Mus musculus: one gene and its partner. The protein of the gene in region 2 interacts with the protein of the main gene of each other region in a pairwise test. Links are inferred from orthologs where the notes say so. Each region holds a gene or a part of one and is shown on either strand. Other genes may lie near its edges. The genes, in order: Timp1 and Cd63.

Region 1 (7,771 bases), on a different chromosome or scaffold from region 2:
AAACACCTAGAAGAGGGGAAAAAGGCCCATCTCTGAGGATTTCTCTTTCCCTCTGTTTGTTCTCTCCCTTGTATAGAGTCTCAGTCTCTCTCTCTCTCTCCCGCCCTCCCCCCCCCCACACACACACACCAGGGAGCTGCTAGGAAGGGTTTGTGTTGCCCTACTTGTGCTTAAACCCAAGAACAGCTTCTCCCATTTGAGGAACAGAAAGCCAGTGTTCTGGAATTGCTGTTAGAGAACTGTCACTTGAAGTCACTCAGACAGGCCTCCTGAAGAACCGTCCCACAGGGCAGAGAAGTGATAGTATGGGGAACAGTTGGCATGCAGGAAGAGCAAGCATAAGAAAAGGCAGCAGGGAGGGCTGGAGAGATGGCTCAGTGGTTAAGAGCACTGACTGCTCTTCCAGAGGTCCTGAATTCAGTTCCCCAGCAATGACATGGTGGCTCACAACCATTTGTAATGGGATCCAATGCCCTCTTCTGATGTGTCTGAAGACAGCTACAGTGTACTCATATACATAAAATAAATAAATCTTTTTTTAAAAGGAAAGGCAGCAAGGCTCTTGGACAATGACTGGGGAGGGGGCTGGTCAGAGGATGTTTGGTGCCACCAGGAAAAAGTTTTGAAATAGTCAGATGGCTGGCGTGTGTCCCTGTGGATTTGGAGAATAGTCCTTTGAATTCTTGCAGCTTATGCCTGGGGAAGCAAAATCCAATCGGGGAGGTCAGAAACAGAGAGTGGTGTCTCAGAATAGTCACAAAGGAAAGTTAGACAGACAGCGAAGGTTCAGGGAACAGGCAGTCCAGAGATAACAAAACAACCAAAATTTCCAAAAGAACAGGCCCAGGGGTGGAGCAATGGCAAGAGAAATCAAAGATAGTGATTGGGTTTGGGCAGCAACTACAACTGCATACAATAGCCAGAGGGAAAAAGAAACCATTCCAAGACTTATCTCCTGGAGGAAAACTGGGTCCAGGCACTTACTGTGCACACCCCACAGCCAGCACTATAGGTCTTTGAGAAAGCTCTTTGCTGAGCAGGGCTCAGAGTACGCCAGGGAACCAAGAAGCTGCAGGCACTGATGTGCAAATTTCCGTTCCTTAGGCGGCCTGTAAGAGAAGCAAGAAACCAATAGGCTTTTGGATTGGCTGGGTGGGGTCGGAGTGGTCACCTAATTAGCATTAGGTTACAGACCCTCCCACTCCCATTTCAACCAGGCCCTTTTCCTTTAGAGCCTAACTCCTCCCAGTTGCCTGAAAGCATTAGGGATGTGGCCCAAGGTGAAGGGGCGGGGCCTCACCCGTGATGAGAAACTCTTCACTGCGGTTCTGGGACTTGTGGGCATATCCACAGAGGCTTTCCATGACTGGGGTGTAGGCGTACCGGATATCTGCGGCATTTCCCACAGCCTTGAATCCTTTTAGCATCTGCCCATGAGTGACAAAAAGTACATCTTTTACTGACATAATCCTCCCACTCCACTCTCTTTCCTGATGGCAATATATCTAAATCACAAGTTTACAGAAAACATCCACACCAACGAAAGGTTAGATGCTTCTATTTTGAGGAGAAGGAATAGGTTAGGTACAGCCATGGAGGGAGGGAGGGAAGGGAAAATACCTTAGTCATCTTGATCTTATAACGCTGGTATAAGGTGGTCTCGTTGATTTCTGGGGAACCCATGAATTTAGCCCTTATGACTAGAGGAAAGGAAGGGGAAATGGGGAATCAAATGGGCAAGCAGCATGAACCCATAGCAGCAAAGCATATATACAGCATAATTCAAATGGCTTCCACATCAGTTGATTCATCTACATATTGTCTATTCTTTTAGGCACTGTTTTAAGCCCTTTTCATATATCCATTTATTGGCTTACTCAACAAATATTTTGGAGTGCCTGGTGCCAGCCACTGTTCAGGGTGTTAGGGACAGTGACCCAAATACAGGAATCCATTTCCTTATGGAGCTCACATTCAAGCCAGGAGGAGACAGACTAACATTAAGTAGCCAGGCATGGTGGCACAGGCCTGTAACCCTAGCTCTGTCAGAGCCTGATGGAGGATCACTTTACTCTGAGTTCAAGACTAGTCTAGACAATTTAGTGAGAACCTGTTTAAAATAAAAAATTCACCAAAAAAAGGGTTGGGTTTGTAGCTCAATTGTGCAGTATTTGCCTGGATCCTAGGTTCAATCCCCGGTACCAAGGGGAAAAAGAAAAAAAGGTATGTGGATTGTTACAGGCTATTAAGTGGGTTAGAAAATTAGAATAGGGAAGGGGTTGACAGATGCTTTGCTTGACCACAATTTACTCAGGCTCATTAACCTTCTTCCAAGCTCATTAGTACAGTTTCTCTTTAAAATCCACTTGTAGCGAAGTATCCTAAATTAGGTTAGTGAAAACACCCACCCTTATCTGATTCTCCTCAGTATGTGATGGGGCCACCAGATGATTATACTAGCCAGTTTTCAAGAGACCTAAACTGGGTGTGATGGCACAGACCTGCAATCTCAGCACTTGGATGGCTGAGTGGGAAGGATCAGGGGTTCAAGGCCAGCCTGGGTTATATAGTGAGACCTAGTCTCAAAAACAAAAAGTAAGCTGATAGGCTAGAGAGATGACTTAATGGTTAAGAGCACTTGCTGCTCTTTGAGGTCCCAAGTTTAGTTCCCAGAATCCACATAGGGTAGCTCACAACCATTCATAACTCCAGCTCCAGGGGATTTGATGCCTTGAGGACCCACAGGCACCTACACACCACACATGGAATACACACAAACATACACATAAATAAAAATAATCTTTTTAATGGATTTAGCCTGAATCCTCTTGCCTTTGATATTTCTTCTCAATGGTTTCCCATTCACCAACTCCCAAACTGTTCCTTGGCCATTGAGTTCCATTTGCCCATGTAATGTTGAGAGTTAATCTATCTCCCCCCACCACCCCCATCTCTTGGCAAATTCTAATTGTCATGGTCCTGAATGAAGTCTGCCTGCCTGTGTCCTAAGAAGTGCCATTAACAGCATATGTAACAAAGGTTCAGGAGTACTATGTGGCTGGCATTAAATTTAAAATTAAATAAAAGTAGGCAAGCACCTCAGTAAGATGACTTTTAAGGCAGCCACCCATGTAGATAACTACAGAAAAGCATGTACATAGTACTGGGAGCAGCCAGCACAAAGGTAGGCTTAGGCCCAAGGATGTCAGTGTGGCAAAAGCAGATGTATGGAAGGGTAAGTAGAACTGTCCTAGAGACAACTGCCATAATGAACCCTATTGGATTAAGAGGGACAGAAAGGGGGCCAGACTCACCCAGGTCCGAGTTGCAGAAGGCTGTCTGTGGGTGGGGTGGGGCACAGCTACAGGCCTTACTGGAAGCTATCAGTGATAGCAACAAGAGGATGCCAGATGCCAGAGATGCAAAGGGGGCCATCATGGTATCTGCTGGTAAAGAGTAGGTGTTAATAGGTTCCCAGACCAACGGCTTACATGGCCATTGGTCCTAGGGAGATTTGGGACCTCTTTAGGTTAGAGAATGGAGTTGTGGCAGTTGGTGAATAAGGGAGCGGAGAACGTTGAGAATTTAACAGAATTGGGAAAATCTGACATTTGTGTAGTGATGAATTTGGAGTTTGGGAAACTGGAGAAATATAATGAGGAATTAGGGCTATTAAAATATAATGGGCTGAGGATTTCAGAGATATTGGGGGGTTAGAACAGGTTTGGGGTTTTAGGGAGCTGGAGAAAATGGGGGTTAAGGGTCTTGGGGAATTTGGAGGTTTACGACAATGGTAATGCTTGAGGAATTTGTAGGCAGAAGAACTGTTGAAGTTCCATGAACCAGACATGGCAAAGAGAACAGGGGAGTTACCAGGAACCATAAGGATTGAGGGACAGGCAAGTTGGGAAGTCTTCAAGGTATTAAAGGCTTGTGGGTTTGGAGCACTTAGCAAAGGCATGAAGGAGTCTGGAGAGTCCAGCTTGGGACGATCATTCCAGGCCCTCTCCCGTTATATTCCTCTTTAGCTAACTAGGGATCCTGATACCTGCAAGCCACGTGAGCAGTTAGTCTGGCAAGGGCTGCATGAGCCGCACCAACACAGGCTCCAGGCAAGCCCCAGTTCTGCCAGGACACCCGGCTCCCACTTACCTCTGGTGTGTCTCTAGGAGCCCCGATCTGCGATGATGGCGGCAGGGGCTGCACAGTGGAGAATAAATGTCCATGCGAAGGGCGGAGTTGGCGGGGAAATCACTGCCTCCAGGCTTCCTGGACGCATTACTCATCCACCCACCGCTGGAGTCAAAGCCTAGGGGCGGGCCCCAGGATAAACCCAAAGATACTCCCTCCTCTGCCAGCCAGCCCACTGCGCCCCCTTCCCCCAGCTCCACGTCATGCACAGTCCTTCCTGGCGGCCTTGAAGGGCAGAAGAGAGAGCGCCTAAAGCTTTGTGCCTCTCAGGTTTCCCATATTCCCCAAACTTCCTGTGGCTGAAGCCAATAACTTCTTTCTCACGCCTTTCATCTACTATGTAACAATCTCACAAGAAAGGCATTCCTGTGGATCTGAAATTCTGGTGAGGGGTGTCAGAGGGTGACAAACTAGAAAAGCAGTTGAGGGACATGACATGGGAGAAGAGGCACAAATACATAGTGGGGAAATTGATACACTGGATAAGTCTATGACTTATCCAAGATAGCAGTTGAGTCTGGCAGAACTGGGAGGGAACCGAGGCTGCTTGCAGACAGAGCCTAGGTACCCCAAACCTTGCTGTGGCTGCACACACCGGTGAGGCTATTTGAAGATATCATCAGCTACAAGAGACCCTGTCTTAAACAGAAACAAGACCAAACAGGCAAATAACTGAAGTAAAGATCTTTGTTAGTGTCACAGGACAAAACAGGGATTTAAACCTAGGCTTCCTGACCCTGGAGTCCTAACTCAGGCAGGACACAATCTTGACAAGCAGGGAATGGTGTGGTGAGCATGGGTGGTGGTGGTGGTGGTGACTGATGGTAAAAGAAGTTAGTGAGTCAGTAGAAAAACCATCCCTACTCCATCCTGCCCTGCCCCTTCCCCCACCAACCAGCCCACACCCCTTGTGGGGATGGGATGAGGCAACTGCTGCCCACCAGCTTCCTGATGATGCAGGAGTATTCCCTGGGGTCCTGTGGAAGGGTTCTATGGACTGATTAGCATCTTCAATTAATATAGGGAGGAAAGACCAATAATAATGACAATGGTTGTAATCGCAGCAGGCAAGCTGATCCAGAGAATTAGAGGGTACATAGTCTATACAGTGAGTTCCAGGACAGCCAGCGATACATAGTGAGAACCTGTGACAGAGATAGAGAGAGAGACAGAGAGAATATGGTAGTGGTGATCACAGCTACTTACTGAATGCTTACTGTACATCATTACTAAGGTTATTATGTAAATTTACTTTAGCTAATTCAATTTTATTAACTTAGGTAAATTGGTTCAGAAACCACAGGACACAAAAACCTCCTGCCAGCACTCAACAGGGTACTATGTACAATACACTGTTTTAAAAGGTTTTTTTTTACACTGTGTGTGTGTGTGTGTGTGTGTGTGTGTGTGTGTGTGTGTGTGTGTGTGTGTGTGTGTGTGTTTGTGCCATGACATGCTTGCATTGCTTAAAGGACAACTTGCAGGGGCCAATCCTCTCCTTCCCTGTGGGTTCTAGGGCTCAAACTCAGGTTATCAGGCATGGAGGCAGCAAGCACCTTTATCTGATGGGCCATATTGCCAGCTCAGAAATTTTGTTTGTTTGTTTGCCATTGTCCTCCTTGTTCCTTAATGTTATTTAATGAAGAGGTATTAAATCAATAACAACAATAATAGTAACCAACTCTTTGAAGATTCAGGTTTACTATATGTGTATACTAAGATTTTCTTTTCTCTGAAATAATTGACTTATTCTTCCCAACATATCTGTGAGGTATGATTCATATTTTTACTATTTAGTAAGAAAACAGAGACAGAAAGGAATCAAATGGCCTGTCCAGGAAAGATGGTGAAGAAATTACTGTGGTGGTGGGAGGAGGTACAGAGAAAAGGAGAAAGGGAAGGAGACCAAAATTTTCAACCATCTGATTGTGAAAGTGAGGAGAAAGTGAGACAGGGGGCTGAGTAACTAGGCGGCAGGACTGAGGAGACGTAAAGACAGGGAAAGTCCTGTCTCGCCTCTTCTATGAGCCAGCTTCTGACGACAGCTCTTTAACTATGAAACCTGAGTCAGCACAGTTTTGCCAGCTGTTTACATTAAGGATTCAGATTATTGTACAGGTTTGAAATGGAGTGGGGTGGACATTACAGAGGGATGTTTAGCCTGTGACTATCTGCTAAACTGGATAGGTGTGAGGTTCCCATAGTGATCTGCTGTCATGTGTAAATACCTGATGATACCCAGAGTATTAAGTGCGAGAGCTTGATTATTTCCCTCTGGAAACTGAGGCCCAGTAAGACAGTACCTACCTGGGATTTTTTAATGGCCTTGGGAAGAATAAAGGCCAAGATAGCAGGCTAAAGCTCCCCAGGAAGTCCCAAGGCCCCTGTATGCACATATGGCAGGCACACACTTAGATGCACCCACAGTGTTCAAGCTCATGAACAGAGGAAGCAAAGTAAGTTTGGGAAAATGATCCACAATGCTCAGCAGATGGGAATAGATATTCTTGTATATGAACAGCTCTGTCATGTATCTGTGCCGCAAGGGGTGGCTTATGTCCCTTGCAAGGCATGCTCCATGTCCCTTCCTGAGAGCCAGGTGTGTGCCTGAGTGTGTTGCTTCTGAGAGTGGAAGGTTGCCAATGTAACTATGCCTGTCTCAAGCTTCTCTGTGTGATGAGTAGATGCCCAAGTAGAAAGTTTCTCCCTATACACACACATCTTGGCATTGTTTCCTTGGCCTGCTCCCTGGATGACACCCTTACCAACATCATACCACTCAGTTCTCTGCCTTCCTATGATGTCACTCATTTGGGAAATGAGGAAGGAGATTGTAGAGGGAGGGAGAGACCTGAAGGTCAATCAGTCACCCTTAGACTATGGGGCTTCCTGTGCCTGTTGGGAACTGCCACTGACCCAGAGCCTAAGAATGCTATCTCTACCCTGTCAGTAGGAGGCAGGGGCCCTACATTTGCACATGGGGTATGGTGGGGCTAGAGTCCTCATACTCTTTGCCTAGCCTGGGACACAGGGAGACTTAACACATCTTTGCCTAACACATATTTGCCTGAATATGTGTCCTGAATATGTATTATCTGTGTGTCTGATTTTCTGTATGCTTGTATTACAGATATGGAAAAAAAACATGTTGAATGTCTAGATATACTTTTCATGGACCCAGAAATGTGATGAGGTCGGAGTTACAGCGATTTGGTTATATGAATGCCTAGAAATGCATTCTCCTTCTGTATGTTGTATTAATCCTTCTGTTTGCTGTGGGCATGCCAGTGATTGCTGCATATGTCCATTTATTGTTTGCCTCGAGAGTAGTGTGTGCTTCTATAGTGCATAAGTAGTTCTGTTATATGTCCTTCTTTTATGTAGGTGAGAGCAAGGCAAGGTAGCTCATGTGTTAACTCTAAGAGTCTTAAGAGTGTGGAATATGGGGGGGGGGGCTGGCGAGATGGCTCAGTGGTTAAGAGCGCCGACTGCTCTTCCGAAGGTCCCGAGTTCAAATCCCAGCAACCACATGGTGGCTCACAACCATCCATAACGAAATCTGATGCCCTCTTCTGGAGTA
Region 2 (7,889 bases):
CTACATGAGACCCTGTCTCAAAAAAACAAAAACAAGGGTCCAGAGAGATGACTCAGGATAAATGATTACTGCTCTTGCAGAGGGCCCAGGTTTAGTTTCCAACACCTACAAGGTGGCTCACAATAGCCTTTAACTCCAGTAATGACTTCTGACCAATGATGGCTCCTGCACACATGGTACACGGGAACTCATACAGCCATACACATATAAATAACCACCAAATCTTCTTTAAAAAGAAAATGCAAGAAAAACATGCCCAATGATACCTCGCCCTGGGCTGGGGGCTGATATTGATGTAGCTCAGTTGCTTACCTACCACACACAGGCCCTGGGTTTTATCCTCACCACCAGGAAGTAAAAACAAAAAACTCCTGTGTTCCCATCCAAGGCCAACCAGCAATAGCCTTTCCTGTCGGACACATGTCCCTACCTGTGACACCTTTCCATCTTAGATTCCACACTCCTGGAAACCTGAGTTAAAACACAGGAACCTCTCTGCCCACCCTCCAGGCGGGACATGGCTCCGTTCGGAGTACAAGTCTCCATTGTGGAGCCTGGCTTCTTTCGAACCCCTGTGACCAACCTGGAGAGTCTGGAGAGCACCCTGAAGGCTTGTTGGGCCCGGCTACCTCCAGCTATACAGGCCCACTACGGGGAAGCCTTCCTCGATACTTGTGAGTAGCTGGGCCCATATTGGGAGCATGGTGGGAAAAAGAGAGGGCCAGAAAGGTCAGGCCTCATAGGGAAGAAAAGGGCAGGCAGAGGGGATATTGTCACTTCCTGAACCTGGCAACCAGCCCAAGGATCTAGCACGGGATGGAGGAGCGGCAGTGAGAGCATGCACGCTAACTACAGCATCTTCCAAGCTACAGATCTTCGAGTACAGCGCCGCATCATGAACCTGATCTGTGACCCAGAACTAACGAAGGTGACCAGCTGCCTGGAGCATGCCCTGACTGCTCGCCACCCCCGAACACGCTACAGCCCAGGCTGGGATGCCAAGCTGCTCTGGCTGCCTGCCTCCTACCTTCCAGCCAGGGTGGTGGATGCTGTGCTCACCTGGATCCTTCCCCGGCCCGCCCAGTCAGTCTCCTGATTCCAGCTTTACAGCAAGAGGCTGATTTTGAAAAGCAAGGCATCTATTTCTGTGTCTACCCAGTGCTGCCTGGTTTCTGATACCAATTAGGCTCTCAATAAATATGTATTGCTTTAAATCAAAAAGCAGGTGTACAGAAATGAAGGTACCTGTGGGAGCCTGACAAGATTTAAGTATCTAAAATCCCTAAGCTGCCCAGGGAGCAAACTCTCTTGCCTCTTTAGTGCCTGCGAAACTTCTATTGTACACTGGGTGGTGTAAGGAGCTACCTTGCACCTACAGATGCTTTTTGGTGCAGCACTTGGAGAGATGGCCACCAGAGGGCGCTTTTCTCAGCAGAGAAATGAGAATTCCTAGTTGGCGCCTGGCACACCATTGTCTAGTTTTCCTGGGGATAGAAGGGAAAGTGATGAAAAGTGATCATAGCCAGATTGGGTGGCTTCCGTGAAAGAAGGAAATAAACTCAGGGACACTGCCACACAGGCGGCAAAATTCTTAAACATTCTTCTTGAGGGTTGAGGGAGGAGTTTGCTGGCCCTCAAAGCATCAGAAAGCCAAAAAGTTGTCCAAAATAGACATGTCCAGGCTCTACTGCGTAGGACCTCTATGGAAACTCCCTTTGACTTATGCAGGAGATGGCCTCAAGGATGCTGCGGCAACACTGTTTGAAGGCTAAGCAGGCAGCACAAAGCCAGGGGCAGAGGAGAGCACTCAGCTACAACCTCCTCTGGATTCCCCACCTCTTCCACTGCCAGCCCAACCAACACCCTCAAGAAAATACACCTTTCCCCAAATGCCCCTAAATATGCCTGCCTAATTTCAGGGCAGCGACAGGGAGAAGGAAAAGGAAGGGGCCATCCATCACTCTAAGATAAACTGAGACCATCTCCTTTTTTAGGTCTGAAAAAATAATCCGTTTAATTGAAAAACCTGGAGAATCCACTCCATGAAAAGACCAAACGCCCCCCACCCCTACATTACTTCATAGCCACTTCGAATACTCTTCACCAGACAGCAGGAGAAGATAATTCCCAAGACCTGAAAGGAAAGATGGAAATGAGGGTGGAGAGGAGGCAGGGCAAGCTTCCCCAAACCCATCCAACAGCCACTGTTCCCAGGCCGGTGCCTCCTGCTCCCCAGATGCCCTGGGCTGATTCAGACCCCCCCCCCCCAGCCCACAGCATTCTTCACCTCCACAAAAGCAATGCCCAGGGCCGCTGCAGCCACCAGCAGTATGTTCTTCCTTAGCCATATTGCTATAGTCTCCACGCAGCCCTGAAGGGAAGGGGCAGGCATGAATACCAACAGAAACTTCTACCTCCCTCCTCCTGTCCCTTTCTCCCAACCCCTATCCCCAGATCTCATCCCCCAACTCTGATCCCGTAAGCATCTCCTGTCTCCTTCTCCCTACCTGGGTATGGATAGTGGATTCCTTGAAATCATTCCCACAGCCCACAGTTATGTTGATGCAGCAAGAATCGGGGACTCTGTCCTTGGCCATGCCGGGGATGTTTTCCCAGTCTGTGTAGTTAGAAGCTCCACAGCAGTTATTCTAGGAAGGGAAGAGGGATGGGAGGGAAACCTCCACTTTAATTCAGAGTTGAGAATCTTCTATCCCGGCTAACCCTCCTCCCGGCCATCCCACTCACTTCTTTCTGCAATTTGTCCAAAATAGTGGCTGTTTTGTTGTCTTTAAGGTAATTCTGCATCTGCTGCTGGAAGCTTTTATTAAACTCTGACTTCACCTAAGAGCAGAGAAGTGGGTGCTGTAGAGAACAGACTTCCGGCCCCAGATTCCCAGAGCAACCTGAGATGGGTCCCCCCCCCCCCATTCCCTGCTTACCTGGTCTCTAAACACATAGCCAGCAATGGCCACAGCCACCTCCACAAGCATGATAAGAGACAGGAAGATGGCAAACTGTGGGAGGACAGGAGTTGGGTTTGAAGTCTGGATTTAAAGGGCTTGCTCTGACCCGGTCAATTACTGAGACTTTCCTGGTGTTCTCCATCCACCCACCTTCACCACAGAAAAGGCTTCCGGTAGCCCCCAAGAGCTCCCACACCCCACTCACTGTAATCATGAGACAGTAGTTCTCCTTGCAGGCCCCACAGCAGCCCACAAAGGCCACCAGGAAGAGGAAGGCACCCACTGCAATGATGACCACAGGCAACAGCGAGCCAGCAGTAGTCTCATGGGTAATGGCCTGCTTCAAGACAACCTGAACCGCTACACCAATGGCGATCAATCCCACTGCACAGGCCTGAGGAAAAAGGCGAGAGTTAGGTCAGATCCTCAGTCCAGTAGCCCTCGCACCCGACCCCCACCCAGAAGATAGATCCTACACCTCCAGGAAACACTGGCTGTAGACAAGGTCTGCCCATCCTTGCCCCACAATGAAGGCTGGGAAGTTGTTTAAGGCACACAAGGAGAAGGGAATCGGGAGGTGTCATGCTGCCTTTAAACAGCGCTTCGGCACAGGATATGGGTTACTTTCTATGGACTCCCAGCTAGAGTCTCTCCCAGAACTACCCCCTCACTCCAGTGACTCAGGTCCTAGGGCCAGCTAGGCTAGGGCGGAGGAGGGGGTAAGAGTGGCCCCTTTCGGGCCGGGCGTGGTGGCGCACGCCTTTAATCCCAGCACTCGGGAGGCAGAGGCAGGCGGATTTCTGAGTTCGAGGTCAGCCTGGTCTACAAAATGAGGTCCAGGACAGCCAGGGCTATACAGAGAAACCCTGTCTCGAAAAACAAACAAACAAAAAAAGAGTGGCCCCTTTCAGAACACACAGGGAGGAGCAAATGAAGGAGGGCAGAGCCTTTCCTACCCCCAAGTAAATGAGAGGGCTAAGAGAATGGAGAGGAATCAACGGTGTGAGGAGTGGAGACAGCCCCTTGGCGATACCATCAGACCGTTGGCAGGTTGCCCCACCACCCCGTACCACGAATGGTTGGGTCACCAGACAGGAAGGGCCAGGAGGGGGTTGGTTGGGGGTGCTCCCCGTCTAGGATGGCAATTCTCGGTCCAAACTTTACTCAGAGGTCCCGGAAAGCTGCGCGTGGGGGATGGGGAAGGGAGGTAGCGCGGACACGTTCTGCCTTTGGCCCTTTTCCCTGGGCTTTCCTTCCACATCTGGCCTCCAGCTGCCTTCATCTCTGGGTCCCTCACCCTTCACGGCTCCCGCTCCAAGACTCCCCCCCCCGCACCCCGCCCGGGCGCCCCGTCGCTCTCCCCGCACTACTCACGCAGAAGGCCAGCAGGAGAACGTAGAGCAAAAACTTGACACACTTCATTCCTCCTTCCACCGCCATGGCTGTTGGGCCTGGGGCCGCGGAGAACACCAAGGATTAGAGCAGGTAGAGCAGGCCGAGGGGCCGCCACATCCGCAGCTCCCCGCCGGCCTTCGCAGCCTTCCCTGCGCGGCCCCCATCGCTGCCCTCCCACCCAGAAACCCGCGGTCAGACCCACGTCTCCCAGCCCTCCCCGCTCGCCGGCCGGACTGGGGCGCGCCACGCAGCGGGGCCTCGGGATCTCGGGATCCCGGGACGCACGGAGGGCGCGGCCGGACTCCAGGTAGATCTCCGCCCGCCGCTGCACAGCGCCGATTCCCGATCCCCGATCCCGACAGGCCGCGACCCGAGACCCTCGCCAGCCCCTGGGCGCGAGCCTCCCCTCGGGTGCGGCGCGGATGGCGCCCCGCGAACTTCGAGGCAAAGTTGCCCCCACGGACGTCCCCCGGGTCCCCGGGCCCGGCTCACCTGCGCTCCCCGACGCTTCTCAGTACTCTCCTGCCGCGGCTCAGCCGCCGTCTCCCGTGCCCCCTGCCCGCGCCCCGCCTGCTGCACGGCCCCGCCCCGGCTCCGGCCGCCCCCCTCCCCCGCAGGGTGGCCGCCTTCTTCCCTCCCTCCCTCTCTCTCTCATGTGACACGGGAACAGCTGCGGCCTGAGTCACCAGGCTAGCAGGGGGAGGTGAGCCCCCCGCCAGGACAAGGCCACGTGGCCGCTGCCTGGAAGGCTCGAGCCAGGAGCCGGACCTCAGGGTTCCCGGAGCCCTCTGCAACCCAGGCGCCGTCTGGTTCTCTCTGGTTCAGGAGTAGGCGAGTCAGAGTCCAGAGGACGCACGGCGGCTCAGAGTTGCCCAAAGACAGAACTGAGCCAAAGTATCAAAACGGTCATCTGCAGACCTCAACCCACCGAGTACCCACCACGCAGCTCCCTCTCCGTCCTTGTTCAAGGCCCTGCCCCCCGCCCCATTCCCGAGCCACCCGCAGAAGGTGTGGGTTGAGTGGCACTGGGTGAAGTCAGAATAAACACTTCCAGAAAGCCCCTAGCTTCCCATCCTAGAAGTCTCCCAACATTCTGGACTAGGGTTTTATGGCCCCAGCTTCTCCATTTTCTAGAACTCCTGAGCTGAGAAAACCCTTTGAGGAAGCCCTTGTCTAGAACCCCGTTTCCATGCGTCAATCATAACACGTCAGAGCCTGGGCCCTCCTGGGAAAAGATTAACAAAGCCTTAGAGCTCCCTTGCTCCTGGATTAGCCAGTGGTTAATGGAGATGTGAGAAAGGACACTAAGGCCGGCGAGGCAATAGCATGGACTTCCGTATCTTATTCCTCTTTTCATCAGAGATGGCAAAACCAGGTAAAGGCGAGAGTTAGAAATACCTTTCTCCCGTGTGCCGCTGGTGGTTCACAGAAGGAACTGTTGTAAAAAGCTCAGATAGGACCGACCGGCCTTACACTCCTAACCTGAACTTTGTCCTTTTCTCCGCAGCTCCTTCTGCCTTGAGTTGCTTACTGAATCTGAAGGGAAGGGACTGTATATAAAGAAACAATTAAAACAAAGGCCAGCTGGTGGCACACATATGTAATCCCAGCACTTTCATATTCTCTCTCTCTCTCTCTCTCTCTCTCTCTCTCTCTCTCTCTCTCTCTCTCGATAGGGTTTCTCTGTGTAGACCCGGCTGCCCTGGAACTCTATCTGTAGACCAGGCTGGCCTCAAACTCAGAGATCTGCCTGCCTCAGCCTCCAGACACTAAAAGTCCATGACACCACACCTGGCACAAGAAAATCAAAAATTCAAAGCCACTCTGGACAGTTTAGTGAGACACCACACACACACACACCTATCTCTTTGGAATCAGGGTCTCATGTAGCCCAGGCTGGCCTGGAATTCCATATGTAGCTGAGGATAACCCTGAACTGCAGGTCATTTTGCCTCCACAAGTGCTGGCACCACCGGTGTGCACAAGTGCATCTAGTTTATGCAGTTCTGGCACCAGACCCAGGATTTTGTGCCTACTAGGCAAGCACTCTACCAGCTAAGCTGTATACCCAGTGCTAGTGAGACTATAGTTCAAAATGGCGAATGGAAATGCATGCAGATCTATGGTAGAGCATGTGTCACGAACTCAGGCTCAGTTCCCAGGCTACAAAGAAGTCTAGGCATGATGGTGAGGCCTGTCCTTCCCAGCACTATGGAGGTGAAGGCAGGATGGCTGAAGGTTACAGGCCATCCTGGGCTACACAACAACACCTTGTCTCAATCCAACCAAAACAAAATCAGTGGTATACACCTATAAGTATAGCATTTGGGAGACTGAAACGGGAGGATCCCTTGGTCATTCAAAGTTCAAGGCCAGAATGAGCTACGACTCGAGACCCCATCTCAAAAAAAACAAGAATAAACCTGAGCTGAGGACGTAGTTCAGTTGGTAAAGTGCTTGCTTAATATGCAGACAGCCTGGGCTTGTATTCTTAGCACCTCATGAACCAGGCATGGTTGTGGTATGTGCTTATTATTCCAGAACTCATGAGGTAGAGGCATAAGTCTCATGAATTCAAGATCATCCTTGGCTACCTAAGGAGTTTGAGGCCAGTCTAAGGAATTAGTCCTTGTCTCCAAATATGAGTAAATAATCGAATAATAAATCAGTACCAGATAAATGAAGAACCTTGGCGTGATAGCACATGTTTATTATTTCCATACTCAGGCTGAAGTAGAGCAATCATGACTTACAGGCCAGCTTGGGCCATATGCTGGGACCCTGTCTCAAAAAGGAGGAGGAGGAAGAGGAAGAGAAAGAAAAGGAAGAAGAAAAGGAAAAGGAGAAGGAAGAGGAGGAAAAAGAAATGAAAGAGGAGGAAGAGGAGGAGGAAGAAGAGAAAGAGGAGGAAGAAGAAGAGGAAAAGGAGAAGGAAGAAGAGGAAAAAGAAAAAAGAGGAAGAAGAGGAAGGGAAAGAGGAAGAAGAAGAAGAGGAAAAGGAGAACGAAGAGGAGGAAAAAGAAAAGAAAGAGGAGGAAGAGGAGGCAGAAGAGGAGAAAGGAGAAAGAGGAAGAGGAAGAAAAGAAAAAGGAGGAGGAAGAAAAAGAAAAGGAGGAGGAAGAGGGGAAGGAGGAAGAGGGGGAAGAGGAGGAGAAAGGGCTGGGGAGATAGATGGCTCAGTTGTTTAGAGCACTTGCTCTTACAGAGTGCCTGACTTCAATTCCCAGCATACACATGGTGGCCTATGACCTCTGTAACTCCAATTCCAGTGGATATGATGCCATTTTCTTGCCTTCTTGGGCATATATCAGACACACACACACATATATATATATATATATATATATATATATATATATATATTACACATATATACATGCAGGCAAAATATACACGCACATATACACGCATATATTCTTAAAATTATGTATCCTAAGGGTTGGAAAGATCACTCAGTAGGTAAGAGCACTTGCACAAACATAAGGACCTGAGTTCTGATCCAAGCACCCACATAAAAAAAAAAAAAAAAAA

The links.
Region 1: the proteins of Cd63 (region 2) and Timp1 interact in binary tests that used the Homo sapiens proteins (3 or more experiments, as listed by UniProt). The link is inferred for Mus musculus from reciprocal best matches to the Homo sapiens genes CD63 and TIMP1.

What each region holds. Positions count from the first base shown.
Region 1 is NC_000086.7:20,866,706-20,874,476, reverse strand, and holds the start of Timp1 (metalloproteinase inhibitor 1 isoform a precursor), read right to left. Parts: upstream 4,312-7,771; 5' UTR 4,153-4,311; intron 3,447-4,152; exon of another isoform or gene 3,444-3,446; 5' UTR 3,439-3,443; coding exon 3,315-3,438; intron 1,701-3,314; coding exon 1,621-1,700; intron 1,428-1,620; coding exon 1,301-1,427; intron 1,110-1,300; coding exon 985-1,109; intron 7-984; coding exon 1-6. UniProt on the Homo sapiens protein: Metalloproteinase inhibitor that functions by forming one to one complexes with target metalloproteinases, such as collagenases, and irreversibly inactivates them by binding to their catalytic zinc cofactor.
Region 2 is NC_000076.6:128,906,920-128,914,808, reverse strand, and holds Cd63 (CD63 antigen), read right to left. Parts: upstream 4,944-7,889; 5' UTR 4,851-4,943; intron 4,415-4,850; 5' UTR 4,404-4,414; coding exon 4,338-4,403; intron 3,358-4,337; coding exon 3,169-3,357; intron 3,015-3,168; coding exon 2,940-3,014; intron 2,842-2,939; coding exon 2,746-2,841; intron 2,649-2,745; coding exon 2,508-2,648; intron 2,372-2,507; coding exon 2,288-2,371; intron 2,135-2,287; coding exon 2,069-2,134; 3' UTR 1,987-2,068; downstream 1-1,986. Other genes in the region: Rdh5 (retinol dehydrogenase 5), read left to right, coding at 511-674, 867-1,096. UniProt on the Homo sapiens protein: Functions as a cell surface receptor for TIMP1 and plays a role in the activation of cellular signaling cascades. Plays a role in the activation of ITGB1 and integrin signaling, leading to the activation of AKT, FAK/PTK2 and MAP kinases.